4 linked regions of the Medicago truncatula genome follow. The protein of the gene in region 1 binds, or shares a complex with, the protein of each later gene. Links are inferred from orthologs where the notes say so. Each region holds a gene or a part of one and is shown on either strand. Other genes may lie near its edges. The genes, in order: mitotic checkpoint serine/threonine-protein kinase BUB1, mitotic spindle checkpoint protein MAD1, mitotic spindle checkpoint protein MAD2 and mitotic spindle checkpoint protein BUBR1.

Region 1 (6,988 bases):
AAAAACAGTCAGACAACTACAAATATAAGATAAATATGATCAATACTTGAGATCATGTTCAGACATCTACCTATCTCTATAACTTTATTCCTTGATGCATTCTTCAAAGTGGATAAGGCAATTTTTCCTGTATAAGATTTAGTGCTCGAATGGTACCCCTGAAATGTATTTAAAGACATGTAAGGGAACATGATCTTTGTCAAATGTATTAAGTTTAAGCATGTAACAAAGGATCAAAATGTCTCACGTCAAATTTCGTAATTAAAGGATTTATCTTCTTCAAAAGGTCATTCAGAGTAGAGGCATCCCATGGATTAATGTCATTATTTTCCAACGTAGCAGATTCTTTATAATCAACCTGAAATTATAAGTTACATAAGAATTCTTAAATTGATATTTAGAAATCTAAAAAATTGAACTGAAACAGGGTTGAGGAGACAAGTGGCAGAGACCATAAAGAATAGTGATATATAAAGGTTGGCTCAATTTTTAACTATGGGATTGTTCACCTTTTCAATATAATTTCATACCTTCTGGCTTGAAGCAACATTGCATATTTCAGAAACTCTACTGAGAAATAAGGTATGTGCCTTCTCCAACCATTTAATTGGCTCTGCATTTCTGTCAAACATGGACCAAACATAAAATTAGAATTACAATCCTAATGCAAAAAATCTCACACCAACAAATCAGAATAAAACAGATATAAAACACCACGAAAAAATGGAGTCTTTGTCACCTTCAGGCCACGTCTATGTAAACCAACCATCTCAAAATAATTGTATTTATGATTCGAATTTGCAAATCGGTGCCTAAATGAAGTAGTATTTATTCACAGCCTAAGGATGCAAGTTTGTTACTCTTCAATCCTGTAATTGGCTTATCAACAGTATAATTTGCAGGATCAAGTTCACAATTTCTTGACATAAAGCTTTGGTTAATTCTGAATGTATGGGAATGTTTTTATTTTCAAAGAATTGCTAATGTTGGATGATCAGTTCAACTGACTTCGTAAATTCCTAAAGAGTCTTGGCTCATTTTGCATCATAAAGATCGTAATGAAGTAGATGTATCTGGGAAACTAATAAATTTGGCTTATTAAATTTGATTAAAAGACTGTACTGGTTCAATTGATGGGCAAGGATCTTGTTGATGGGATAGGTGTTTAAGTTCAGATATTGTACCGAATATTCTGACAAATGTACCACAAAATTATCATATAAATTCTATTTTTACTATCCTCCCAGTGTTTAGAAGTTGCTAATAGCGCAAACAATGGTTTTCTCATTGCGCAACTTCTCCCTGTGAGTTGCACAGGTTCGGAATCCTAATAAGTATACAAGTTTATGAAATTTGAATAAACCCATCCAAGATGTGTATCACCAAAATACCCCACTCAAGATCTACTACAAATAGTATATACTCACCAACAAGAAACACTCACTATTCAAGCAATCACTCTGTTTGAAGATTCACTCACTTCTCATGGATTTGGAAAGCCTCGGTGTTTAATGAAACTAGTTTACATTGTGGTGAGGTGTGACTTCTTCCACAAACTGATAAATGCTAATTAATTGTTCTCCCGTTTCAAATAACTTTGAAAAATGAAACTCATTAACTCCTTTTTCAAAAGATAAATTGTGAGATTGGTGTGTTTCCCACAAGTCAAGAATGAATTCTAACCAATACCATAGCAATTATAGGAGACACTGCATTTGGAGCTTTAGAAATTTAAAGTCATTTTCCCAACAAATCATTATGCTACAATTTGCAATATCAAAAGCAGGTTACAAATTCTTATCCAAAACACTAACTTGGAAATGCCGAGCTTGTAGATGGTGTCGGCATCGAGCAATCTACCCTTTGCTTCAAAAAAACATGCAGAATACACATAAAGTGAAGCATCGTTGGCACATATATTACTATTCAGCATTCCTTTGAAGACACTGTCAAAATCAGCACTAACATCCATCTGCATAAAGAAACCAACAAAACCAAGTTGAGAACCTTTCAATTTCAAGGTTCCTCAAAGCAGCATGTGCTCATCAAGTCCAAGCTGGCAAACCGTTCAAACAATATAGCAGTTTGTTGTTTGCATACAATAGCTAGTTGTTACTCTTCCATTTTTATGGGCCAATTATACATCTCAATTTATTTTCCTTCTAAATCTTTTGTCTCTTTAATATACTACTCCCTATATGTCTCTCTTATTATTAAAGTAGATAATGTATGAGATTAATTTCTATGCACTGACTGTGTAAATTATCTTTACACATGCATAAAATTATAACACACCAAATAGAAATAGTTATTTGTAGATACATTTTAGGCACTAACCTAATAAAAATAGCATGACTGGATGAATGTGTGAAAAAGTTTTATACAAACTAAATCTTAAAAATGATAGTTTAATTGACAAAATAACAGTAATTACCATGAGTTTGGTGAACATATCATGTTAGTGTAAAACATTTTTACACTGAAATTCAATGAGAAACCACACTAAAAAAAAATGGAGTGATATGGTAAAACGAAAATGCTACTACTATAAAGGAAGCAAGGAAGCATGTTAATTGAAATTTTGGGTAGAAAGAGTTGAAATATTATTACATATAGGAACCAGATCTTGAGAAATCTGGGATCATTTCGGTAGCTGTGATTGTTCTTGAATTTATTGATGCAATCTCTGAGTAACTTGCTGAGATTTTGAGTGGAGGAAGTGGTGGAATCTTCTAGAGCTTTTTTGATTGACCTGAATTCATTCACAAAATGCAGAAAATTGGTGAAAATGTAAAAAATTGTGCGAGTATGTGAGGAAAATGGAAATAGAGAAGAGAGAGAGTAGAACCGGAGAAAGGGTAAGAGAGGATCGTCAATGGCTGTTGTGAAAGTGGGGGAGTTGCGGAGGAGCGTGGTGGCCATTGAGTTGTTGAGTTTCAGTAATGAACCAAGCGCGGTACTTCCACCAATTTGAATTTATCCTTTTTTTTCTTCTTTGTTCTTTTCGAAAATTCAAATAATTGTTAGACCAAACTCATTAATCATTAATCAATTACATTTGAGTTCAAATAGTTAATTTTTTATATTTTATTTTGATTGAATTTGGAATTTTTCTGAAATATTTTTCACCTGGAGATTCAGTTTGTTCCTTCACAAATTTTCTTGCATTCCAATTTAGTCATTAATGTATAAAAATGTCAATGACTAATTATGTATTATTTTTTGTCAAGATTAAATTGAGGTGCAAGGGATCAAAATAGATTTAACAATATCTTACGAATCAATTTAATTGAGTAAATAGTCAATTTCCCCCCTGAAATTGTAAATTTTATCAATTACCCCCCCTGAAATTAACAAAACTTCAATTATCCCTCTGAAATTTCACAACATTAGTCAATTTACCCCCTCCGTCAAATTTTTCTGTTAGTGAACATGACGTTTTGCAAATACCCCCTGAAGTTTTGCACTTATGTGCAAAATCCCCAAACTTAAAAATTTATATTATTTTTTTCTTAAAAACAAACAATTAATAGTTAAATATTAAAACTAACTATTAATTTTGGAATTTGGGAAAACTACATGCATATATACATCAAAATAGGCTCCAAAATGGGGAAAAATATGTATTTTTTAAAGTGACAATAATGGGATGATTTGTGGATTAATATTGGGGGTTGTGTAGTTTAAATAGTTTGAGCAAATTGTTTAAGGAGTTGGAGGAGTTAAAAGACTAAGATGGTGAAGGAGAAATTATAAATTTAAATCTGATTATTAATTTGTTTATAAACCTCTAAAAATAATAATTTGTCTATTAGAAATAATCATTATTGTCACTTTAAAAATACACATTTTTCCCTATTTTGAAGTATATATGTATGTAGTTTTTCCAAACTCCAAAATTAATAGTTAGCTTTAATATTTAACTATAAATTGTTTATTTTTAAGAAAAAAATAATATAAATTTTTAAGTTTGGGGGGCATTTTGCACATAAGTGCAAAACTTCAGGGGGGTATTTGCAAAACGTCATGTTCACTAACAGAAAAATTTGACGGAGGGGGTAAATTGACTAATGTTGTGAAATTTCAGGGGCTAATTGAAGTTTTGTTAATTTCAGGGGGGTAATTGATGAAACTTACAATTTCAGGGGGGAAATTTACTATTTACTCTAATTTAATTTGCATATACATTTAGTGGTGGGAATTTTTTGAAAAATTGGGACTATGTAGTGATAAATAATTAAGTGTATGTTTGGTTACATTGTTGTATAATTGATTCAGATGTAGTTGGTTGTTTTTTTAGTATAATTGATTTTATCTTTAGAATTGATTCTACTTGAAGCTGTGATTTGTAGCTTTTGATTATATAATTGATTTTTACACACAAATTTATAGTTAAATTATCTAATTGATTTAGACGTATTTGGTTGTTTTTCAGTATAATTGATTTTGTGCTTTGAATTGATTCTAATTGAAGCTATGATCTGTAGCTTTTGATTATATAATTTATTTTTACACATAAATGTATCAAACCACAAATCACTTTACAATACATTCAACTTAGTTTTCGTCATAATCAATTCACATATTTTATGCTTTTTGCTAGTTAATAGTGTACGATGGGAAAAGTTATGGTTCATAAGTCATTTCCTTATGCACCGTGCATAAACACTTCACAACCATTGGATTTACATAAGAAAAGGCAGTATAAAAACAACTTCAAACAAAAAAAAGTCATAAACCAACACTCTTTCTCTCTCTAATCTGAAACTTAGAGAGAGATGCTATGCAAAAGAGTTTCTTCTCCGACCTCCTCTTCAAGCGCTGGCGCGGTGGCTGCCGGCCCAACAGGACGGCGGCGTCGCGCCGGAGATAGCAAAAACCTCCGTTTTCAAAAAAAAAAAAAATCAAGAATCCGACATCCATTTTCTTTTTAAACTCAAATCCACCTTTAAAATTTTCGAAAAGCAAACACATATGCCTAGATCTAACTTCAAAGATTCGAAAAATAAAAAGACATGGAAGAGAAGAATTCGAAATTGATAGAAGAGAAGAATTCGAAATTGATAGAAGAGAAAAGAAGAATTCGAAATTTGTAGTGTGTTATGATTCATGATTGTTTGCTGGAAAAGTGTTTGATGAATTTGTAGTGAAAGCTCAAAAAATAAATTGCTAAAACCATTCCCACAGCAAAAATTTCTGGACATCATTCCCATAGCAAAATGGTTTTGGAGTACAACACACAGAAACCATTTCCACAACAAAAATTTCTGGACATCATTCCCACAACAAAATGGTTTTGTTTTTAGAGTACAACTCACAGAAACCATTTCTTTCCTCCTCCTCCAATTGTGTCAGTCCAAAACTGAATGATTGCAATGGCTCTAGGTCCTTAGTTTTTTTTCAACTGTCGGAAACCATTAAGTACATCTAATGGTTTTAGAGTACAACTCACAGAAACCATTTCCACAGCAAAATGGTTTTGACATAATTTTATACAAAACTTACTATAATAAGGACATTTGTGACTGTCATTGAACCAAATCATCACTATGAAATCATTATTGAACTAAAATGATGATTTTCACGGTTGTAGTGTTGTTTCGTTTGGTTTCGCTTGGAGGTGTATGGAAGCAATTATATTTCAAATGGGATTTATGCACGGTGCATAAGGATTTCCTTATGCACCATAACCACTCCCGTGTAGTATGTGTTTGTCTATTCTTTTTTTGTTACCATTATATTAGTACGAAGTTTTCACCTTAGCAGAAATGGAACACATAAGGTGGATTCTCCCATTTCAATCAATTTTTTTTATATACATAAGTTAGAAATCGAACCCTGATTACATGCTTAAGGAGCTCAAGTCTCTTATCACTTGAATCAATTTTTTGTTGGTTTGTTTGTCTATTTTCTATCGTAGTTATTTTTGTATTAATTTAACGTATTTTGTTGTACTCTTGATTAATTATTTTGGGACACAGCTAAAAGTAAAATAGTGCAATGTTATAGCAAATTCTGATATCCTTTTAAGTTTGATAAATGTTACTCACACAAATCTTTTACATATAGCTGGTGGTTATAGTATCATGTATTTTTTTTATATTGATTTTTTGACACAGAGCACTATTTATTTTATTTTTAATGCAGTTTAATGACGTGCAAATGCTTAGTTAGTTTAGTTCATTACATAGTTGATAAATTACAACATCTTGTTATACTTTATGATTTAAAGGATGCTGCAATGACAAGTACAGCAAGGGCGTGAATCTTTGACATGGCTTGAATCCAATTACTCAACTAAAAATGAGCTTAATGGTTTTTCACGTAATGATTAATTTTTATCCTTTTTACGTAGCTTCAGATTCTGGTTTAGAGGGGGAAGGAGAGAGCATTGTAGATAGTTTTCTGTATGTAAATAGGAAAAAAAAACTTTGCTGAAAATAGTGAAATAAAATAGTAAGAACTATATAAATTTCGTTTCAGTTATGTACATATGGAATTTAACAAATTGTAGTTCAATAATACTGGAAAGTTTACTGTGTATCTCAAAAGTTTGTTACAGTTTCGATTTAATTTTCTGCTATTCTTCTCTTCGCTCACTAGAAAAGTCCTAAAGCTTTTCAAATAAGTAGCAGTAGGGTGGTTGGAGCATTTTCTTGAGCATCATCAACTTCATTTCTTTTGGCATGAATTTCATTTTCTTGGAATTTTTTGACCAAAAGAATTCATAATTTTAAAGTATCATAAACTTATATGGACTAACTCAGAGTCTTCATGAGTTATTCCTCAGTTATTCCTCAAACAGTTCATAATCTTAATTTACCAATATTAATGTTGAATTGGTATCACAAATAGTTTATACAGATGCATTACCTGCAATTTTGAAAAATTTACATCAAAGAATACAGATTTAACTATTACACTATTACAGTGACACCTAGAGGGAGGTGTCAAGGATTCAAGAGTTCTTGAACACCAAAAACTTTGA
Region 2 (7,779 bases), about 26 Mb from region 1:
ACTATCCTCCATCTGATCTACTCTCCTTACCTATAGATTTTGTAGAGACAAAGGAAGACTAGAAAAACTATCAGAGAAACTATTATGAAAGATTTGGAAATTAATTAGTTGGATCGAAATATGGTTTATGATAGAACATTATAGCGTAATTTAATCCATATAGCCAACCCCACTTAGTGCGAAAAGGCTTTGCTTGTTGTTGTTGTGATGGTAAAGAATCATTATGCTTACTTTGCAAGTTTGGAGAGGAGGCTTTGGGTATGAGGAAGGAAGTAAGGGAAGTTAAAGAAAGAATAGTCTCCCAACTTTAATATGGGGTTTATTTTTCTTCATAACACAAAATCCCCTCAAAATGGAGGAACTCAAAAATTATATTGAAGGAGGGTTTAGATAAATTCTTCAAATATAATCTGTTATTATAATATTATAAAAATTAAAAATATATTAATGATTAACATTCATCTATCATTCTCTACAATAACAATCTCTAAAAAAATCCGGAATATTTCTCTTCTTTTTTTTCCCCTACGCTCTTCCCCCCAAAGCCCTCCCTACCCTCCAAACTCACAAACAGAGTCGTAGTTGGTTTTGTCTCGTGATAGGAGTACTCCTTAATCATTAAAGCCAAGCTGGGAACTGTTGTGAGTGCCAGGATGTGTTGTTTTTGTTTGTGTTAAAGGTGGGAGTCTTAAATATAGTTAGACCTATATCCTAGTGATGACTATCGACTGATTACCTTAATGTAGTTTTAACTTCTCGTCTAATCAAAAGGTCTCATTTTAAATGCATTCACAAGAACAATCCTCCACTTTGCAGTCTCGATTAGAATTGAAGGCAAGGATGTAACCATTTGTTGGCTTAAGAACTTAAATGCTTTTAATATTTGAATTAAGCACAGTAGTGCATTTTGGCATAAGACGAGATAAGTTTGCATTCTTTCAATGGTTTTATAATTAGGTGTTTTGTTCTGTCATGATATTACCATTCATGCTACCAACTACTGTGATTCCAAAGCACTTGATAATGTGACATTTTTGCCTGTACAGGTGAAGCTTGTTATGAAACTCTTGCGTGATTCTGGTCCTTTCAAGGAAGGTGTCCTGTAGAAAGTATATACACACATTGGCAGGGTTTGAAATTTGTAAATATTATATATATGGTTTTTTAATTTTGCAATCACTGTATTTTGTTAGAAATGTATGTACAGTTGAATCAGTGGCCATTAAATAATAGTATTTGATACGTTTGGCTATTTGTTTCATCCTTTATGACAAAATTGGAGACGGGAGAGTAAGATAAAGATCATTCATTCATGCTCTATTTGATTCCATCGTGAACATAACTGGTACAGCTCCATTGTAATAATTATTATTAGGTCATAGGCAGAGCATGTGTATATTGGGAAAGGATCTTCTCAAGTTTTTCCTCTCAAGTTTGTCATGTGTTATTAATCTCACAATTAAATAGAAAAGGTAAGATGGATTTCTAATATAAACAATGAGAGTAAACAAGCTCAATGGTGAGATTACACATAAGAAACCTGAGAGAAAGAAAAAACAATATTTGAGAAAATCCATTGGCATACATATTGTTAGTTGAACGATTGACCAACCAACCATTGCCAAGGTTAATAGACTGGACATTGGCTGCAAAGTCAACTGTTTTGATTATTCGCATATTATTTTATTTTTTTAAAACAAAGTAAAAGGTTTAATAAAAAGATCTAAACCCGGCACAAAAAAAAAAATGCAGGGAGAAGATAAGAAGAACAGAAAACAACCAAGCTGTAAAATACAGCAGAAAGCTAATCACCATAACTCTCCTCCACAAAACAAAAGTGAAGACCCCAAACAAGGAATACATCAGATGGTTTTGCCTAAAGACACATCTTTGAAGCACTAAAAAACAATAGTCAAATGATAAATGAAGTACAAAGACACCCTCTTGTAAATTTAAAAGCATGTCCTGCAGACTTCAACCCACACAATGCGGAGACCCGACCTGATGCGAAACCTTAGTTATACACCAAAATACGGCTAAGTCAGACAGCAATCACACTATTTTGAATGCACATGAACCAGTTTGAATTAGAAACCACACCTGCCAACATAAAAACCTGCTACTAATCAACACAGCGACATAAATACATCTATTGCAAGTCAAAACTGAATTTTGGATTGTGCAACAATTCAAGCAGTGCAATGCAATGCAAACTGAACTGAGGCACGCCTTTGGATTCAAACACCAACGAAAGATATTATAATCTATACTATTCAACAACTTTATGCCAGCATTATACTAATTATACAGTAAAACTGAGCTTGTAGGTGATTTTCATTTAGAAAGGAGAACCGAAATGATAGTAGAAAACATGATCTTTACTTGCAATGGCAATCATTCTACGATAAGATGTACTAATAAATATGATTGAGGAGTTGATGATTAGCCTGACTCACACATGAGACTTCAAACGGAGAGAGAAGCACCATTATCTGCTGGAGTAAGATTGAGAATCATGGTGGCTGCCTTGAGAGCCCTGATGAATGAGATTGATTATTTGGAGTTATTAGTTAAGTTGAAGAAGAAAAGAGAAAAAGAAAAATGTGAATCAAGTAACAAACCATGATTCAGGGGATTGATAAAGAGAAGCGGAAGCACCAAAGCAAGAAGCAAGCATGTCAGTGTTGATGACACCAGGATTGAGTGCGACAACAGCCATTCCTTGTGGTAACTCTTTAGCTACAGACTTTGTGAGTCCTTCAATAGCCCATTTGGATGCACAGTAAGGAGCAACAAGTGCTGCACCCGATCTTCCCCAACCAGAAGACAAGTTAACTATAATACCTTCTCCTCCTCCATTGTTGATCATGAGAGGGATGAAATGTCTCAACACATTGGCAGTTCCTTTCAAGTTTGTATCCATCACCAAATCAAACTCTTGAGAAGGAACTTCCCACATCTTGTTGTTCTTGTTGATAGTACCTGCGCTGTTCACAATAACATCAGGTGGACCCCCCTTCATCTCCATAACAGTGCGAGCCATCTGTTGAACGCTGTCATTGGAGCTGACGTCAACATTGAGGAAGAGATGATTATGATTATTTGGAAGTAAAAGAGATTGAAGAGAATCAAGCTTATCCTGAGCACGAGAACAACCTATAATGGTGTGACCTCGATTCGCCAATTCAATAGCAAGAGCCCTACCAATTCCTTTGCTAACACCAGTAATCAACACACTTTTATTTCCTATTCCCTTTCCACCCATTCCGACGATGAGATGAAAATGGAGGGTGATTGCTGTTGCAGGGAGAAAAGGGGAAGAACGGAGTCGAATTACCCCTCTATTTCACGCCAAATCCATTCCTGTTCTATTTGTGTCAAAAATTGTGCCTATTTTTTTATTCTAGTATATTCGTAATATTATATTTTTAACTTCTATATGTTTTTACTAGGTTATATGTGTTTTTTATCCTTTAATATATAAGCGAGTTTATGTCGATTTATTTCTTCTTAATTTGTTCTTGTAATTTGAGATTCCTTTCGTTTTAGTCCATTTTTTGGACATGTCACTCATTTTTTGACTTAGCATCTTTTTTTCCGTAGGGGTGGACAATCGGTCGGATTTGGCCAAAAAAACTATATCGACAAAAACTGTGGTTAAAATATATCACTCATTTCCCAATGCTTTAGCACTCGGATTGAACAGGTCCTGGGTTGCACAGAGAGCGGGTTCCACAGTTGGGTTGGTTTAGTTGTTGGAAGAGAAGAACAAGGGGTTCCATATGTTGAGTTTGTATGTCTCATCATCCTGTATGACACAACTTGTGACATATGAAATGAACTAAGGTAGAAGGACTCTGAACCGATAAAAATGAAGGCTACCTTTACTTGTAATGTAACACCCTAACCTCAACTAGTATTTTCTAACTTAAAAATAAAATCAATATTTAAACATAAAAGGATGTCACACATTCTCATCGTTCAAAGTACTTCAATTTAATTAAAAATAGTGCAGCGGAAATGAGTTCAAATCATAGTCACAATATCTTAATATATATTTTTTTCTCCTTCTAGATTCTCATTAAAAAACTAAAATAAATACAATGATCTTTAAAGTTTTTTTTTTTTTACGGAATGATGATCTTTAAAGTTATTATTTTAAGAAAGTTATAATGAACCGTCTCACATGACCCATTTGTTATGGATTAAAATAAAAATGATCTTGACATTTGATAATTTAGAGATTCAATTAAAAAAATAGAATATAATTTGTGTTTGTTTATCATTATAAATCAAAATGACTTAAAAAAAAAAAAAAATTTAGTTTGTTTACATACAATTACATAAAATAGTCTTTATATTTTTTTTTTTACAAAATTACTTCAATCTTTTGACAATTATTTTATCTCTTCATTAAATATAATTTTTTTGTTACAAAAGACAAAAGATTAAAATATATTGAGATGTCAAATAATTAAAATGTGACATAATTGAGTTTTTCTTTTTCTTTTAGGTTTCATACATAGTTAGAGATGGAGAAGAGAAAGATTAGTAGTAGCTCACGGTCCTTCAAAAAACAATTAGTGGACTAACGTGACGGCGAAAATGAAAGTCATAAAAAAATACAAAAAGAGAAATAAATTGGCTTCGCCCGGGTTCGAACCGGAGACCTTCAGTGTGTTAGACTGACGTGATAACCAACTACACCACGAAACCACATGATGTTGATTGTGATTGCAAAACAATTATATTGTGAAAGGAGGTTGTGTATTTTTTCCTTTTCCTTCCGTTGAATAAAAGTTGCGCCTTGGGGTTTGGGGATTTCAATTCATTTGAAACGTAAGTGAGAAAGAAAGAATGATACTCCGTACTCCTCCGCCACCGAAGAGGCCACGTTCCGATGACGGCGATGGCGACGCACAGCTTGTTATCTATGAGGATCCGGCGCCAGCGGTGGAGGAACCCTCCGAGCACATGCTATGCACATATCAGTGTCGCCAAATGGTTTGTTTGTTTGTTTTCTCATTCTTCTTCAATTAACCTGTCTCTCATTATTATTATTCGAACGCAGGTTAAATCTGATTTTCTAGATGCCTTAAGTAAAGCAGAAAATCAAGTTCGTGATTATCAATCTCAATTCCAAACACTCAATCATAATTTCCAAAAACTCGGTATATTAATATCATCAATTAATTACTACTTTTCAATTTCAATTTCATTTCACCATCAACTTTGATTTGACATGACAGACACTGAGAGGAAGAAATCTGTGGAGCAATTGTTATACACTGAACAAGAACTTGCTGCTTCTAAAGGCCGTGAAAAGGCCCTCCAGGATCAACTCTTGAAGGAGGTTACTGATTCTCAAGATAGACTTAGAAAATATATTCAATTAAACACTGAACTTCAGGCTAAGCTCCAAAATGAGACAAACCTTCGCATACAAGCCGAGTCTCATGCCACTTCCACCCAAGAGAAAGCAACATCTTTAGAAGGGAAGCTAGGCAATCTTTCAGATACCATACAGAGGGAAAAAAAGAGACTTCACGATGATCATTCACAACTCAAAAAGGACTCCAACTTTTCTATTTCTAGAATCACCGCTAATGTAAGTTGTCAATGTTCAGACTAATGCTCGTTCATATCTATCAATCATTCTTTAACTTGTATATTTTTCTTGTTGTAGCTTGAACAAATGGAATGTAGAGCTAATAATGCCGAGAGAGAAGCAGAGATGCTTAAAGAGCAATTGGACCGTCTCAAGGACCAATTCAATGAGGTTTGCAATGTTCAATTTGATTTGCTTGCTTCCTGTCACTTTCATGTTTCTTTTTTTATTGGGTTACTTTCTTTGCTTTACATCATGAATCACGATTCCTATTTCCAGTGTTTGCACCAGAAGACTGAAGCTGAAAAGAAGCTAGCAACTTTTTCATCCCAGGAAGTTTCTTCTACATGGAGTGATGTTTTGGTTAAACAATTGCAACAGGAACTTCAACATTATGTAAGTTTGCTTTGTCTTTTATCTTGGGTCTCAGTGCCTCTTGATGTTTTGATTGTTTGTGTTAGGTTGCATACATCAATCATTTGATGTGTACACCAATTTCAGCTGCAATTCAAGTGACATGATCATAAATGGAGAGGACTAACTTTATTATATTATTTTTATTTTGTGTTAGGCACATTATTGTTTTATTAAATGTTCTGGATATATAAGATGAGGTTTGGGCAGGCTTGGCTCCTGAATCGTGTCTTTTTATTTTCTTAAATCTTTTGGGATTTTTTTTTGGATTAGTGCCAAAATATATGACTGCGTTTTTCTTCACATTTTATTGTCTCTTTTTTATTTAAATTTTAGTAAATATAATTAAATTTGACACCTGATATTTGGAATACCATAAAGATACCATTGCTTTGTTTTCACTTTATCAAAATGTTCTTCTTCTTTTTCTTTTAGGGGTGTGCTTTCATATTATTCCCCTTGTTTGTACCCTTCTCTTTGCTGGTGTTTTGACAAGTTTATAACACGCTGTTGTTTAGAACGTGCACGTTTTACCAAAGTATTGTCGTGAAGGAGCTTGATATCAATTGGGCTGGTCTTTTTACTTGGTATTTTTCTAAAACTACATGCTTGGGATATAAGTTAAATTCATCCATGGACCTAGAGATAAAATAGGCCTGAATGTTGCATCTATTATATCCATAGCCATGTTGTGATGGAGTTCGGTATAAATTGGGCTGATGTGTTTACTTAGCATGTTTCTATTATTATGAGTTTTGGCCAAACGTAAAATTCACTTTTGGACTTGGAAACACATTTTCTACGAGTGCTGCATCTAGTACAAACCAAAAAACCCGAGGAAATACCAGTGCGATCAAGCTTCTGTTCATGCATAATATGCGAAGGGTGTGTGTTGAGTCTCATATTAGATTGTGTTATGGCTTGAATAGCAATTACTATCTCCGTCCCTAATTATAGGGCCCTTTTGAAAAAATAACGGGAATTAAGATAGTGGATATTTGTATTAAATATGTTTGTAATTACTATTGTTTTTACAATTTTATCCTTTAAGAGAGAGAGTTGGATTATGTTTTCAACATGTTATTTATTGTTGATTGAAGAAAAAAAATGTATTATAAATAAGGGCATGTATGTAAAGAAATAATTAATGTAGTTGGAAATAGCAAAGGAGTCTTATAAAAAGAGACAAAAAAAATTCTCAAAAGGGTCTTATAATTAGGGACGGAGGTAGTATTTGTTTAGGGCAACCCCTCACCGTCCAAGTCAATTTTGTAGGATTAAATTAGGCTAACTTTCATTTTTTTTTAGGGGAGGGGTGTCAATACATGGACTTCGTTTTAACTTTGAATTATAACCAGATGCATTCTCATCATAAACTTTTTTTGTACCTGTGGTAATCTGAGTAATGTATCCAGTTAACTTTGCAATTTTAGGAATCTGAAGTAAGGGAAGCACGAAAACTAAGATCAAATCACGAGAACATTGAGCTTTTGAAGGAAAAACTGCTGGAGGAAAAGAGCCGTCGGGAAAGGGCACAATCTGAGCTATCTAAACTACAGGATGTCCAGTCAAATATGAAAAAGTTAGAGGATCAAATATCATCATGGAGATTGATGATTAAAGACATACCTGGCATCTCATGTTTTGAGGACATGCCTTCTAAATTTGCAGCTTTACAGAAGTACGTTGGTAGCTAATTGAAGTTTTGTTTGCTTCGCTGTTTTAATAGATTTGAGCTGTTGAAACCACTGTCTGGA
Region 3 (6,947 bases), on another chromosome or scaffold:
TTTATGATAGATAGTTCTTAATCTTCTCGATTCATCTGTCACCCAGTTATCTTCAAAATAGGAGAGAAACTAATAGTTTGGGGATTAACTTGATTGTTTAAAAGAACATAGGAGGAGAGAGTAATAGTTTAATGGTCAAATTTATCATTTACTCTTGTTTCAATTGTAAACCATGCTCTTGGAGGATTTGCTTTTTGTATGATCTCCTTTTAACACTTTCACACAGACAGATTCACTAATTCATAACATTTTAATGACCAAATTAAATATTCACTCTTGATTCAATATTTCATTTTATTTTTTGACAAGAGTTATTCATAAATTTATGTATCTCCTTTAAATGCTAGAATGATAGTTCCAAATACCCATGATTAAGAAAGGATTAGGAAATTCCTTGAGATCATGGATGCTTCCACCGCCAGATTTGAATTATCATACTCGGAATGATTCACTATTTCATAAAACTGAGTACATGGATATGCTTCCACAGCCAGATTTGAATTAACATACTAGGAATGATTCTAGGAATGATTCACTATTTCATAAAACTGAGTACAATCAACCATAATTCTGAAAAGATTAGGGAAGTTTTTTGATATCCTTGCCAAAAGGAAAACATAAAAAAGCGAGGAATAATACATCTGACATCCACATCAGTACACATCTAACCATGTGAATAGAAAATTCACAACTGGCACAATCCACTTGATTTGGAAAAAATAACAGAAACAGAACAACATGACAAGAAAAGGACACGGGCGGCTAAGCTTTACTGCTCATCCCATTCGTCGTTCTTGTATGATACAAGTGTGTCAACCTTGTGAATCTGCATAACCAAAATAAGTATTACTTATAGCCAAAGGATAAACCATGTCTGTCGATAAATAACAAAATTGGTTAAGTCCAAATTGCACCTTAGTATCAAAGGAATGCAGTTTCACCATTTGTGGATTAGCAATCAGCTTTGGATCACTCTCAGTCCAAGTGAATGGAACTTCCACATCTGTGTTAGTATATGCTAACACATCAAACACACCTGAAACAAATAGCCAAATTCAACTAGGAGATAAAACAATATAAAATGAAGATTAAGAAAGAAAAAACATAAAAAAGAATCAAATAGTGGCAGCATACAAGGTTCATCCAAGCATGGCAAATAGGTGATACTTGAAGCTATCTGCCTCATAATTGCCTGTATCTCTCTCATGATTTCCTTGTCACTCTTCTCCCTTGACTCGCCCTTCTCGACAACCTCGTTATCAGTCTCAATGCTGAAATTCCACCTTTCAAGGACTTCACCAGTGGACTTGCTCATTATAACAAGGACAATCCTCTGTAACTTGCCAGCTTCAAGCCATTCTTTTCAATATTCAAACAGTTTGATAATCAGCAATGGTCCATGATAAAATCACAAAACAACCGCTGATTCTCAAATTTTAATAGGTATTGAAATCCCCAAGAAGAATAAGGAAATGAATGGTAAACAGTAATCTTAACATCTATTCATATTTAAGATTCCCAATTTTTCATAAATCATAAGTAATGAAGCACGGACACACCATACACAACACTAACATGTCAACATCAAAAGTAATTTAAAAAAAAGAATTAATTTTATGTATCGCATGTGTCGGCGTCGTGTTAACGTGGAAACTCGTCTTCGATCAGAAGTGTCGGTGCTACAGAGGTGCTACAAAGGTCATTTGTCACAACAATAAATCTGTTTCAATCTCTGCACATGACTAAATAGAGAACCATAGAACAACAACAACAACAGTAACAACAACAACAACAATAATAATAGAAAGAAACAAAGTAGGGTTAGGGTTGTTAGTTACCAGAAAGCTGAGCAGTTAAATTGGTTATAAAGGACTTAACACCCTCATCTTCAGTAAGCAACATCGGAAGGCCATATTTCTTCACCTTCACAAAGCTTTCTTCTGGATAAACACCGCGATTGTAAAGGATGCTGAACAAGTTCACATGTTAATCAATAATATCACGAAATTTCAAATAACATAACTAGAATATACGCTAAACAAAATGCTGAATCAAACCTGTTAGCAGCATATCCTGATGAATGAAAATAAAAATAATCAGTGGAAAATACGAAAATGTAGAAAAAATGAAAAAAATGTGAATAATAATAATATTACCGAAGAACTCGCTAACGATTGCTGCAGAACCACGAAGAGTGATTATGTCTTTGGTAACTGTTTTTGATGCCATGATCAAGTGAAATGAGAGCGAAATTTTGGTAGTTGGAATTGGAAGAGTAGAAGAATGAACTGAATCAAAAATGAGAGAAAAGAGGATAATAAAATAGGGATTTGAGTTGGAAAGAAACTTGTAGGGGAAGCGCCTTAACGGCTAGTTCTGCTTTTTTGTTTTCATTGCGCTTTTTCTTGTTTTTTATTTTATTTTATTTTTTATCCATAAGATTATTTTGAATTTGGTTATTTAACGGTCAAGATTCAGAATCGCCTTTTGTGATTCCCTTATAAAAAAATATTTTGATTATTAATATTGTCGTTGTTTACACGTAAAGAATATTTTTATTAAATATTTTTATCTTATATATCAAAAATCTTGTTAAATAGTTAAATCACATCAATTGTAGATTTTATTTATTTATATGTGCGAAAACAATTTTTTATGCACATATATGAGAAATTCGATGTGATAAAATATTGGAAATTCACAAATATTTTTAAAATATAAACATTAATGTAGACTTTCTATTAAAATAACTTTTATTTATTTTATATGTAAATGGGTGAAAGTGAATTTAAAATTTTAAAAAGTGTAACAAATCCGATAGAAGTATATGTCCATATTTTATATTTTATTTCTTTTATCCTTTAAAAAGGAGTTTTTCTATTTACACCCCATATTTTTTTGGTTACATCCAAATTTTCTTAAAAAATTTTTATAATATCAAAATTGCCCTTTTATATAAATTTTCTTAAAACCCTAATTTTATTCATTGTCAGTGAGTTTCACCCTCTTTCACCCCACAAAGCGATCGATCAAACAATTTGATGTTCAATATCAATCTCCATGAAAATTAAAGAGTGAATCAAAATATTTTTCATCCATACTCAATTGGATATAAGTAAGTGAATTTCTTCTTCTATTTGCTAGTTTCAATTTTTTTCCTTCAACTGCAATGATGCACTGTACGATTACGGTTTTAATTTACATTGGCAAGGTTAACTTAAATTCAGTTTAAGTAGGTTCATGTAAACTTAGTTTACATGAACCTACTTAAACTGAGTTTACATGAACCTACTTAGATTGAGTTAACATGAACCTACTTAAACTGAGTTTACATGAACCTACTTAAACTGAGTTTACAAAATCGCAGAACTGCGAAGCGAATCGCAGAACAAGGAAAACACAAAATCAGAACTGAGAACCCATAAAAAGAAAAACACAATCGATTGAAGAACAACACTTGCTAACCTGATTTGCTTCGAATTTTCTTTGAAATCATGAATGGACGTGAGAAAGTATGGTTTTGAAAATCTTCGCAGAACACAATCGATCGATTGGAGAATTATGGTTTTGGAAGAATGGTTTTGGGGTGTAACCAAAAAAGAAGGAATAGGCTTTTTGAAAATCAAATTTTATGAAAGGGTAATCTTGTCATTTTGGGGTGCAACCATGATTAACTAGGGTGCAACTAGAAAAACTCTTAAAAAGTGTAACAAACAATATCGTGTATATTAGTTAGCTTCTTAAAAAAAACAATATCGTGTATATCTTCTATACTGTTGACCAAACAAATGCTCTAAAAGACCTATTTACTTAGACCCAATATCAACATACCCAAATCCAGCGTTTGGGCTACTTACTCGAAACACACCCCTCTTAACGAGGGAGGTGCTCGTAGCACACAAGAGACTAGTTCAAACGACTGGCAACATCTCTTAAACGTGGCTGTAAATCTATCTCTTACGGTTACGATTCCCACGAACCTGTAACTGTCAAACCCCACGTGTGTCCTACTTACGGGACTTGCACCTCCATGATATATAAAGGGGACTCCTAGCAGTCTCAAATGTTAGATTCTTTTTAGGCTCTTAGCCCCCATTCTCGTTTAATTATGACATGAATGTCGGAGTGTCCGCAAGTATACACCCCTAGCCGTTCTAGTTGCAACGGTTGCCATTAACCACCGAAAAACGCCGCGTCGGTAGTCACCTTCTGATCAGGTACGAACATGGATCCAAGATGTTTTTTTCTTACCTATTTTACCCTTCATTTATACTATTTTATTTACTATTTTATTCTTTAATAATATTATTAAAAATTTAATTTAAAAAATTAGATTCCATCGAAATAGGAATATTACATCACAATATGAACAATATCTATATTATATATAAAGGGGATATGGATTTTAGTCTAACTATTTTATTATTTCAACTGTACCCTTAAATAAATTTTCTTGTATTAAAAGTTATATTGTTTGTTTTAATAAATGTTATATTGTCAGTGTTATTAAAAATATGTATAATATTTGTTAAATTATTATTGTCACTGTAAAAGATAAACATGATTTGCTGGGTTTGTTACAATTTGTACTTATAACTTTAAACAAAATTAAAATTTCATATAAAATATTGTTAATAGTTTACACGCATTACCGCGATAAAAAGTGCGAAAAGACGGACACGTGTTAGTTGTTATAATAAGAACAACCATACTTTATCTGTACTATATTAGCGAAAAGACAACACTTATGCATCTGTTTTTTCGCTTTTTTGAATGCACTAACACATGTAGATTATCAACAATATGTAACAAACTCAATAAATCATATTTATCTTTTTCAATAACAAAAATAATATAACATATATTAAAAATTCTTATCATTTATAATAACGCCAACAATATAACATTATTATAGGAAAAATTATTTAAGGGTATGATTGAAATAAAAAAACGCAACCCAAAATTCACTATTCACTTTATATATTTATACTATATATAAAGAAAAGACTTTTTTCCTTCAAAAAAATAAAAATAAAGAAAAGACCTTTTAAATACACGAGTTTGATCCTTCAAAAACAAATACACGAGTTTGAGCTGACTTTTTTCATTATTTATCTTACCTTTCATTTAAACTATTTTATCATTTAATAATATTATTTTAAATTTTAATTAAAAAAATTAAAGCACATTAAACTAAGGAATCATCTCACTGTAATAGAAACAATATTATGAGTCACATGAACTTAGCTCAGTTGGTAAGAACAATGCATAATATATACAAGATCCGAGGTTCGAAACTCGAACACCACAAAAAAAACAATATTATCATTAATATATATGAAGATGATAGAGATTTTAGGCTGAATTTTTTATAATTTCAATTAAACCCTTAAACCTATTAAATTAACAATTTAAAGAATCTATTTAAAACTTAAAAAATATATTTTTTTCAATGGAAAAACTTATTTTAAACTTAAAAACTAATTCAAATATTTCACGAAATTAAAAAGATAATTAGCAAATGTCCCTGTGAACTTAACTCACTTGGTAAGGGATAATGCATAATACATGCAGGGGTCGGGGTTCGAACCCCGAACACGCCACTTATCCACTTTAAGTTTAAGTTGAATTTCTCCGCGCTCGATAGGCTACCCGACAAAAAAAAGTTAATTAGCAAGTAGAACAACATCACACAAAAGCTTCCGATCTGAATTTAGGATCGGTTTCTTATCGTTGTTTACTAAGCAGTTTCCATGGCAAACGAACATGGAATCGCACTTCCAGTTCTAAAATCTGGAATTGGGTTTCTCCATGAAGTAAAAGGCGTGTTTCACGGCGCAAAAGGGAAGAATATGATAAGTTTGTAAAAGACATAGATGATTTCAAGAGATGCATGAATGATCATCATCGAGTCAGACTTCCAGTTCAAGAATTCAAACAAATGGTGAATGAGGTCCTTAAAGGGCATATGTATTTAATTTTGGGATTCAACTACTACATGAGGCATTATCGAATCAGACTTCCAATTCCAATCCATCATGATGAACAACTAGGTCATAAGACTGGTTCTGGTTAGTAGTTTTTTATGATTATTGTACCTCACATTTGTTGATAATTTTACTTTGTATTTTTTAAAGGGGTTTGGTAACTTAGACAAAAAACTATTGTTTAATGTTTGTAATTGTCTATTTGAGACATAAATGTGTTTATAACAAAAGTGAGTTAAAGTATTTGAGACATTCATAACAAATAAAAAGGTACACACTTGCCTACTTAGACTTCATGTTTTTAGATTGGTCTAATTAGCAAACTCCTTTGTATAAATATTTCATATTTGTGCAACAAACTGATGATTGGCTGCTAAAACAAGGAATCCTTCCCTCTTATAATCCTTGTTTCAGAAGTGCTAAGATGAACCGAGGCACCAGCCAAAACACACCAGAAACAAAACACGAAAACTGTCGACCAAAATTGCTACCACTGAACAGAAAATCAGCACAAATCCTGCAGAAAAACTAGCCCTCAGCCACACAACAGAGAGGCCACCAAAGTAACACAAAAACGCACCAAAATTCATCCCTCTAGAAACTATAAAAGTTGCTAATAGCTGCCTAAACCAGAATTGCATCAGATGCTACATTGTTAATTTCCATTTGAGTATGAAAATGGATATCTATTGTTTGGCATAGTTATGTTGCTGTAAAAGGTGTTTGCTGTGATTTTGAGGTGGAAGGGGCTTGGTTCTGGCTGTGATGGAGTATGGAGTTTTTGGTCTACTTTTATTTACCCCTGTTTTTTTTTTAAATGGTTTTAGAAGTTGTATGGTGTATGGTGTCATAGAGGTTATACAGTGGTATGATCATAGAAATGAGAAAGTAAACCACCCACATTAAAAAAAAAAAAGGGATACTACCTAATTGTATTGTGTAGCACTTATATGTTGGTCT
Region 4 (8,004 bases), on another chromosome or scaffold:
TTGCAGGAATTGCATTGTTTTCCTTGTTTCTTTCGGCACGACCACCAAGTTTGAGCCAAGAGTGTGACGGATCTGGCTGAGGTGGACAGGTCTCAGCATTGGCATTTGAATCTTTATAAATGGAAAGTGGAGCTGCTCGAGTCCTACAAGATTTAATAATGAAAATATCAATAAAAACCAACCTAGAGGTACATTGCATGAAATTGGAATTTGACAATTCCAAGGTCATTTTATATATGTTCCTAGAAACTCATTATTCATATATTTCTCTACAAGACTATGTGCATAGTGCGTGCAGGTGATTTGAAAAATGAAGTATATATGGAAATAAGGATCCAAAAAACAAGAGGAAGAAATAAGGCAATTCCAACCAAATAAATCCAAAGCTACAATACTGTTAGGATTGTTACCTATCATTCTTAACAGAAAGGTTACTGTTCAAAGGGGCCAAGGGCTTAGAAGAACGATTACTGCTCAAAGGAGCCAAGGGCGCACCTACAACACAGAAAAAATGTTCAGAATTTAAAATATTGAGACAAAAAGTAATGTGGAGAGAATTGAAAAGGGTGGAACTAACCATTATCTCCCTTTGCAAGAAGAGTTCCAAAGCTACGCACAGGTGCCTCTTTTTCCACTGGGTCCTAGTTAGCGGAAGATATGAGGGTCAGACAACAAATGTAGATAGCTCATAGTCATAGATAATCATATTATAAAATTTTGGAAGAGGTGCTAATGAGAACACCACATACATCTATAGGTTTTGTCCTTGACATTGAGCGAACAAGAAATTTTCTATAAGCAGCTTTCAGTTTTTCAATGGGTTGAGCATTCCTGCAAAATTGGTAGTCATACCAAAACAGAATATTTAGATCTTCTATAAAGTTATATGACTCGTCAACTAAGGTATCTCATGGAACTTAGGCTCAGTATTTTGGCCATAACAAATGCACACACGTATTTTCCTTTCCAAATTTGTATAAATTGAAACCACATGGACATAAACCTTGAACAATTATATCCTTTGGCAACCATAATTAATGCAAAAGTGAAAAGCATTTAACACTTTCCCTGGAGTTATTCAACTGGTATACAATATGGCATATAGCAAATTAACACATCAAACAATATATGAATTTCATTACAAGGTCCAAGATATAAGATAAGAAACCACAGTACCTATTTATGCCAAGTTCAAATGTCTGGTTAGCAGCTTTAAACTTGTTCTTGGATTCCAAGTGCAAAGCATATGAAATGTAGAAATCGGAATGAGTTTTTCCAATTTCATTTGCATCCAAAAAAGAATATATAACTTCCTTATCAAAGCAATTTTCTGCCTGCAACCAACAACAACATCTCTTCTTATCAAACCACCACTCAAAATCAAAGCAACCAACTAAATAAATAATTAAGTAAAAAATTAAAAAACAAAAGATTTAAGAACCCTACATATTCAAGCCACACTTTGAGATATCGCAAATCTTCCTTATACCGTTCCGAATGCCAAAAAGCACGAACACATTGCTCATAAATCACCACCAGCCCTGAGCTATCTCCACCTGGAGGAAACGCTTCTTGAACCCACTTCATACACCTTCACCATCAATAACAAAATAGAAAATAAATTCACAATTTATTATTTTATTATAAACCTATGTTTTGTTCCAGTATTGAAGCAAGTAAAATTGATTCTAAGGGTTTAGAATTGATTTTGTCGTGTTTGTTTGTTATCGAGTATAATTCATTTTACCTTTACAGAATTGATTCAGACTTAAAGCTAATATTTGCAGTTTTTGCCTCTAGAATTGATTTTTAGGCTTGGTTAAATCATTCAACTCTTTTTCACACAAATATAACCAAACATAATTCATTTTATTTCAGCCAAAATCAATTTTACAAAATCATTATTTGTCAACATAGACCCTAAGCCAAAGCCTATGTTTGGTTCCATATTTGGAGCAGCCATTGCATTCAAAATCATTATTTGTCAGCATAGACCCTAAGCCTAAGCCTATGTATGGTTCCACATTTGGAGCAGCCAAAATGATATTTAGCCAAAATAAATTTTACAAAATAAATTCATTCAAAATCACTTTACAAGTGTTTATACTTGACACAAATTGAGAAACTAAGCCTATGTCTGGTTCCACATTTGCAGTAACCATAATTGATTGTGGAGGTGTAAAGTTGATTTTGACATGTTTAGTTGCTTTGGAGTAGATTCGACTTTGCCTCTAGAATTAATTCTAACTTGAAGCTAGAATTTGTAGCATTTGAGTCTAAATATGATCTTTACTCTAAAGTTTATTGTTCAACTCACTTTACATGAATTTATCTAAACATAGACCATTCTACATTCAACTCGCTTTTAAGTAAAATCAATTTCACATAATCAATTCATCTAAAATCTATTTTTGTCACCGCATAATCAAATATACACTAAATATCCAATCAGGTCCTAAAACTTCAAAATCATATCAATCCAATCTCCTAAAATAAACCCTAAAATTAAAAATATTATAACAACATTAAATTAGTAACGATGCGATACAATTAATAACAGTAGTGAATGAACACTCACTCTAACCAAGGGAGAAGAGGATCTTCGCCTTTGTAATCATCAATGGCTTCAATAAGTTTTCTGTTACACCAAAAACTCATCAATTAAATGAAATCAAACAAAGTAAAACGAAGAAAATCTAGAAATCCTTATAATTAAAGAAGAACCTTCGTTGTTGAATAAGAGATTTCTTGAGGTAATTGTCGGTGTGACATTTGAGAGCGTGATTGAGAATGTTAACATTACGACCTCGTTTCAATGGTCTCACGTTTTCTTTGAAGGTTTCCCATTCGGTTCCGGTTTCTCTCTTCGATGCTAGAAACTCTGTCTCTGGATCTATCTTCTGCGTTTCAATCTCCGCCATTGTTGTTGTTGCTGAAGCTTCTTCTTCTTTGTGTTCCAACTACCAAGGAATCTTATGGGAGCGTTGAATTTGTGATTTGAATTTTGAAAGTGTTTTTATATACGCTAATACTAGCCGTTGCTACTTTATTGGAAAATGAATAATATTGTATTAATCAAATTAATTAATTTACTTTCCTATTGTTTTTTTTTTTGGAGAGTCAACAATGATGAAAATAAATAGGAATATTCTTTTTGGGGAGAATAAATAGGAAATCTTTTAAGGAAAAATAGGAATATTAAAAAACACCAAAAAAATAGGAATGATAAAAATTATAAAATAATCCGTAAAAAATATAACAAATTGGTCTTTTATAAGATCTGAAATTCCTAAACTTTATATCCTTAAATTGTTACAGTTAAATGACTTAAAAATCTAATTGGTACGGAAAAAACTTAAAAACCAACTTATTACAATTAATTAACTTAAAGGGTTTAAGTGGTACGAAAAAATTTAAAAAATCAATATGTTACAATTAAATAACTTAAAGGACTTTCGGTGTAATTTAGTCTATAAAATATTTATAAAATTTTCAATAATGATTAAATAAATAAGGGTTTGAATATTTTTTTTTTGTCTCTACAAATTTTTTGTTTGTTTTTTCAGTATTTGAGAAAATTTGTTAATCCTTGCTTGCAACTATGTAACTTTTTTTTGTTTTGATTCTTGTTGTTTTGCTATAGTCCCCCGTAAAATTTGTTTATGTCAAAGTTAGTCTATAGTCTAGTATGTAAAGAGGGATTATTATACATGGCTTTGGTTGTGTGCTATTGGATATGGTCTCCTCCAATCACATAATCATTTATTTTTGACTTTAATCTTTTTGGTCATATTTGGCAGCTTGTTAGGAATTGGATTTGTGTATATTCAGCAGATCATTCTAATATTGTGGATCATTTTCATCAGTTTGGTACTTCTTCATGTTATGCTAAATCAATGTATTCTTTCATGCATTTGATTTGGTTTGCTAGTTCTTGGATGATTTGGAAGAAAAGAAATGTTAGACTTTTTCGGGGTATAGAAAATTCTCCAATTCAACTTGTGGAGAGCATTAAGCTTCTTTTCTTTTGGTGGTATAAAGCTAATCACCGTGCTTTTCATTATAGTTTTCATAATTTGTTATATTCTTTCTAACATTGAAATTGATAAGTATAATTTATTACTTATGTAAGAAAGTATAGTTTACTACAATAAAAAATTGAAACATATCTATTATCTAAATTTTTGTAAAAAAGACTACAACTACTAATAATAAGAGAAATGATATTTGAACAATCATTTTTTACAATTTTTGAGATAACTTTCTCTCTCATACTCACATTATCTTTTTACTTTCTCTTTCTATTGCTTTGGTTTTTGTGTCCACTACCTCATTTCCTTTATAAAATTTTGGTTGTCACATATATGGATGTTGAAATAACACAAGTCTAATAATAAAAACAACAACGACGACAACATGAACATTTATTGGTTTGTGAAATTTACGTCCTTCACCATGACACTACTTATACAAGCTGTTCAAAACATCTAACAACTATCACGACTCATCAAAGTGGCTAGGGGGGTCCTTCGAAAAAGAGCAAAGATATCGGGTGAATAGGCATTTTCGTCCTTCAATTTGTACATATGGATCAGTTATGTCATCAAATTTTTTGAAATAGTTAAAACATCCCTGAATTTTACAAATGTCGATCAATTTCGTCCCTTGTCAAGTCTCACCACCGTTAACGGTGATGACGTGTGACGTTAAATGCTGACATGGATTGCCAACTCAGATGCCACGTATTTAGGGACGTAATTGATTGAAAATTATTAACTTTTTTTTGCACTTTTTTTTTAAATGAAAGTAATTACAAATTATTATATTGTCAAATCAATCCCTGGATTATTCATTAAAATCAAGATTGTCCTTGAATTATATATGTCACTCACTATCAAATCGATCCCTGAATTATTTATCTTAACTATCAAATTGATCCCTGAAACAGTCAAATAAATCCTAAAAAATGAAAGAATGTGTTTAAATATAATTAATTACATTTTCAAGTTTGAAATGAAGTTTCATCCATATTCAATATATCCTTAAAGGTCTTCATGTAAAAGTGTTGAAAACCCTTTCAAATTCTCTTTGTTTTCTACATGCACAAGCACATACCAATAACAAACACATGACAATAAAAATCATTAACACAATTAATTAAGATGAACACAAGATAAAGGACAATGTCTATCTAAAAAAAATCTATTGATGAATCTTCCCACCTTTGCCAACTCATTTCCTTCCACTGCTCTGATATCAAGCCATAGAGTTCTTCTTTAGAAAAGGCAACCTTCCATAATACCTTAAAGGCCTCCTATAATATCCACATTAAAGTCTCAAGCCATAAACTAAAAGCTAGTTAAGCAAGACTCTAAACATAAACTAAAAGCTAGTTTTTAGTCCATATAACATGCTACAAAAAAATTATGTTTTCTTCTAGTTTTTGTTGGATGATGCATGGAGCGTAATAATTACCAGAATTAGAAACACTCAAAACATAAACTAAAAGCTAGTTTAGTAAATTATAAAAATATTGCTTAAGAGTTAATTCAGAAAAGCTAGAAGCATCACTATCTCTTATTTGCGCACAGACACAAGACAAACCTCTACCAAGCCATGCTACTGATCCTGCCAGATCCTCGGCTATAACGAAACAAAAGTTTCTGTCAATGAGGACTCTAAGAAATTTTATGTTAAAATTTCATCACAAGTTGATTAACATGCAAGAGTTGCTTCACTTAGAGTATTTATTTCATCATTAGTAAAGGATGTGCCCTTCCATCTTGAAACATTATGCATAAGAGTTTTAGCAGTGACATCAACCTAGCATAAATAAAACATGCATAAAATGTCAAGAACAGGTGAATCTTTACATGTGAGAGCTCTAGAGAAGCTCCAGTATGGTGGCTGAGGGGCGGTTCTTGATTTGGTAGCACAAAGAGAATTTTTCATATGCAAAATTATGTTTATAATATCATAAATGTGGATGTAGAAAACAAAGAGAATTTGAAGTGGTTTTCAACACTTTTGCATGAAGACCTTCGAGGATACGTTGAACATGGATGAAATTTCATTTCAAACATGAAAATGTAATAAATAAAGTTAAACACATTCTTTCAGTTTTTAGCATTTATTTGATAGGGATCAATTTGATAGTTAAGATAAATAATTCAGAGATTGATTTGATAGGGAGAGACATAATTCAAGGACCATCTTGATTTTTAGTGAATAATTTTTATTGATCAATTTGACAATGTAACAATTTGTAATGACTTTCATTTAAATAAAAGTCCAAAAAAATATAATTTTCGACCATTTTCATCCCTAAATATGTGGCATCTGAGTTGGCAATCCACGTCAGCACTTAACGTCACACGTCATCACCATTAACGGTGAGACTTGACGGAGGGATGAAATTGATCGACTTTTGTAAAGTTCAAAGACCTTTTAGCTATTTCAAAAAATTTGAGGACAAAATTGACCGGTGTGTACAAATTGAAAGACGAAAATGCCTTTGTACACTCAAAGTGACTAGGGTTTATGGAATCTATCTATATCATTAATTATTCGACAATTCCTATCACATTCGACTAATTTTTCGCGCACCTTCCAATATTTGGGATCGTATAATCAAAAATGTATAAAAATATGTTAAAAACATCCTTCAACACTCAACATTTTTTCCAATTTCATAATCCAAATAAAATATGCAACCACATAATCCACGCTCAATAGGGCTCGTGGAATTTGGTGTAATCGGTCACAGCAATTTGGAAAATATATTATGAGAATTTTTTTTTCTTCACATTCTGTCTTTCTCAAAAATATTAGTTTTACTCCAGTTGGATTATAGAATTCAATGTGCTACAAATAACGTTAAAAATATATCACTGTATCCCCTGTTTAACTATATTATTGACCATTGCGTGTTGATTAATTTTTACAAAAATTAAAAGTCCACAACAAGTTGGTGATTATCATGTCTATTGAAAAAAAGGTAATTATCAATTCACAAATGAATCGGAGATAAGAAAAGGAAAGAAATACAATATGTGAAAATAGGATAAGGATTATTGCATTGGACAATATTTGAAAGTAGGGTAAGCATTATTGGAAGAAAAGGTTATGAATGTCAATAGACTGGGATGGGAGATAGACATAGGATCATAGCCTTACTGTATCATCAGCAAGAGTGAATATAAAGTATAGGTAGTAAAAGAGACATGTTAAGGGCTTGTTTACTTGGTGAAAACGTTATATGCTTTCATTTTCTTAAATATGTGTTCATTTTACCTTGATAAAAGACTATCAAAGTGAATGATTGTAATTTGAATAATTTGTGAATTTGGATCAAAACTCACACCAATACTTTGTTGTGTGGACCAAAACTAGCAGTAACTAAAATTAAAGTGATCATAAACAATAAAATAAGATAAACGAGAAGGATAAGAAGAACACGTTGATATTTGTTTACTTAGTTCGGTCTAAATTGGCCTACGTTTGGAGGAGAGATCTCTTCAATTCACTATCAAAGAGATACATGAGTTACAAGAAATTAGTCTTCAATAAATTTTTTTAGAACAAACCCTAATTCCAATCATATTCTATATCCCTAAGGTGTTTTCAAAGTATTTCTCAATATTAGTTTCTATCCCAAAAGGAACCAATCATTAGCCTTTGATTTCCTAAGAATTCTCTTTTAGTAAACCCTATTTTGTCTTGTACTCTAAGAAACAACCTTGTGAACTATAAGACCTATAGGTAAACAAGTGAAGCAATCACTTTGCTTGTCTTGGATTTCAAGAAATAACCTTGCAGCTCATATGCTTTGTCAAGCAAAAAACCGCCTTATATTTTTGTTTTCTTGAGAAACAGGTAGCATCTTCAATTTTCTTGAGAAAAAATCCCAACAAGATTTTGCATCCAATTACACTATGTAGTCCCATAAGATTTCATCTTTACCTCTTCAAATCTTATATGGTCTTCTGCCCACTTGAAGATCCT

What was found.
Region 2: mitotic checkpoint serine/threonine-protein kinase BUB1 (region 1) and mitotic spindle checkpoint protein MAD1 share a complex: the UniProt entries of both Arabidopsis thaliana proteins name them as parts of the mitotic checkpoint complex. The link is inferred for Medicago truncatula from reciprocal best matches to the Arabidopsis thaliana genes AT2G20635 and MAD1.
Region 3: mitotic checkpoint serine/threonine-protein kinase BUB1 (region 1) and mitotic spindle checkpoint protein MAD2 share a complex: the UniProt entries of both Arabidopsis thaliana proteins name them as parts of the mitotic checkpoint complex. The link is inferred for Medicago truncatula from reciprocal best matches to the Arabidopsis thaliana genes AT2G20635 and MAD2.
Region 4: mitotic checkpoint serine/threonine-protein kinase BUB1 (region 1) and mitotic spindle checkpoint protein BUBR1 share a complex: the UniProt entries of both Arabidopsis thaliana proteins name them as parts of the mitotic checkpoint complex. The link is inferred for Medicago truncatula from reciprocal best matches to the Arabidopsis thaliana genes AT2G20635 and BUBR1.

Annotation. Positions count from the first base shown.
Region 1 is NC_053045.1:38,309,345-38,316,332, forward strand, and holds the start of mitotic checkpoint serine/threonine-protein kinase BUB1, read right to left. Parts: upstream 3,002-6,988; 5' UTR 2,923-3,001; coding exon 2,849-2,922; intron 2,753-2,848; coding exon 2,611-2,752; intron 1,973-2,610; coding exon 1,815-1,972; intron 622-1,814; coding exon 531-621; intron 359-530; coding exon 248-358; intron 159-247; coding exon 71-158; intron 1-70. UniProt on the Arabidopsis thaliana protein: Serine/threonine-protein kinase that performs 2 crucial functions during mitosis: it is essential for spindle-assembly checkpoint signaling and for correct chromosome alignment. Has a key role in the assembly of checkpoint proteins at the kinetochore.
Region 2 is NC_053045.1:64,602,117-64,609,895, reverse strand, and holds the start of mitotic spindle checkpoint protein MAD1, read left to right. Parts: upstream 1-4,768; 5' UTR 4,769-4,857; coding exon 4,858-5,004; intron 5,005-5,071; coding exon 5,072-5,171; intron 5,172-5,249; coding exon 5,250-5,608; intron 5,609-5,686; coding exon 5,687-5,779; intron 5,780-5,887; coding exon 5,888-6,004; intron 6,005-7,455; coding exon 7,456-7,703; intron 7,704-7,779. Other genes in the region: uncharacterized protein, read left to right, coding at 1,047-1,106; NADPH-dependent pterin aldehyde reductase, read right to left, coding at 2,467-2,536, 2,622-3,265. UniProt on the Arabidopsis thaliana protein: Required for the execution of the mitotic checkpoint which monitors the process of kinetochore-spindle attachment and delays the onset of anaphase when this process is not complete.
Region 3 is NC_053044.1:42,315,274-42,322,220, reverse strand, and holds mitotic spindle checkpoint protein MAD2, read right to left. Parts: upstream 2,376-6,947; 5' UTR 2,230-2,375; coding exon 2,157-2,229; intron 2,074-2,156; coding exon 2,058-2,073; intron 1,970-2,057; coding exon 1,839-1,969; intron 1,360-1,838; coding exon 1,135-1,359; intron 1,037-1,134; coding exon 915-1,036; intron 827-914; coding exon 770-826; 3' UTR 517-769; downstream 1-516. UniProt on the Arabidopsis thaliana protein: Required for the execution of the mitotic checkpoint which monitors the process of kinetochore-spindle attachment and delays the onset of anaphase when this process is not complete.
Region 4 is NC_053042.1:12,600,761-12,608,764, forward strand, and holds the start of mitotic spindle checkpoint protein BUBR1, read right to left. Parts: upstream 3,007-8,004; 5' UTR 2,922-3,006; coding exon 2,725-2,921; intron 2,639-2,724; coding exon 2,579-2,638; intron 1,592-2,578; coding exon 1,447-1,591; intron 1,335-1,446; coding exon 1,177-1,334; intron 832-1,176; coding exon 750-831; intron 642-749; coding exon 578-641; intron 496-577; coding exon 411-495; intron 144-410; coding exon 1-143. UniProt on the Arabidopsis thaliana protein: Essential component of the mitotic checkpoint. Required for normal mitosis progression. The mitotic checkpoint delays anaphase until all chromosomes are properly attached to the mitotic spindle.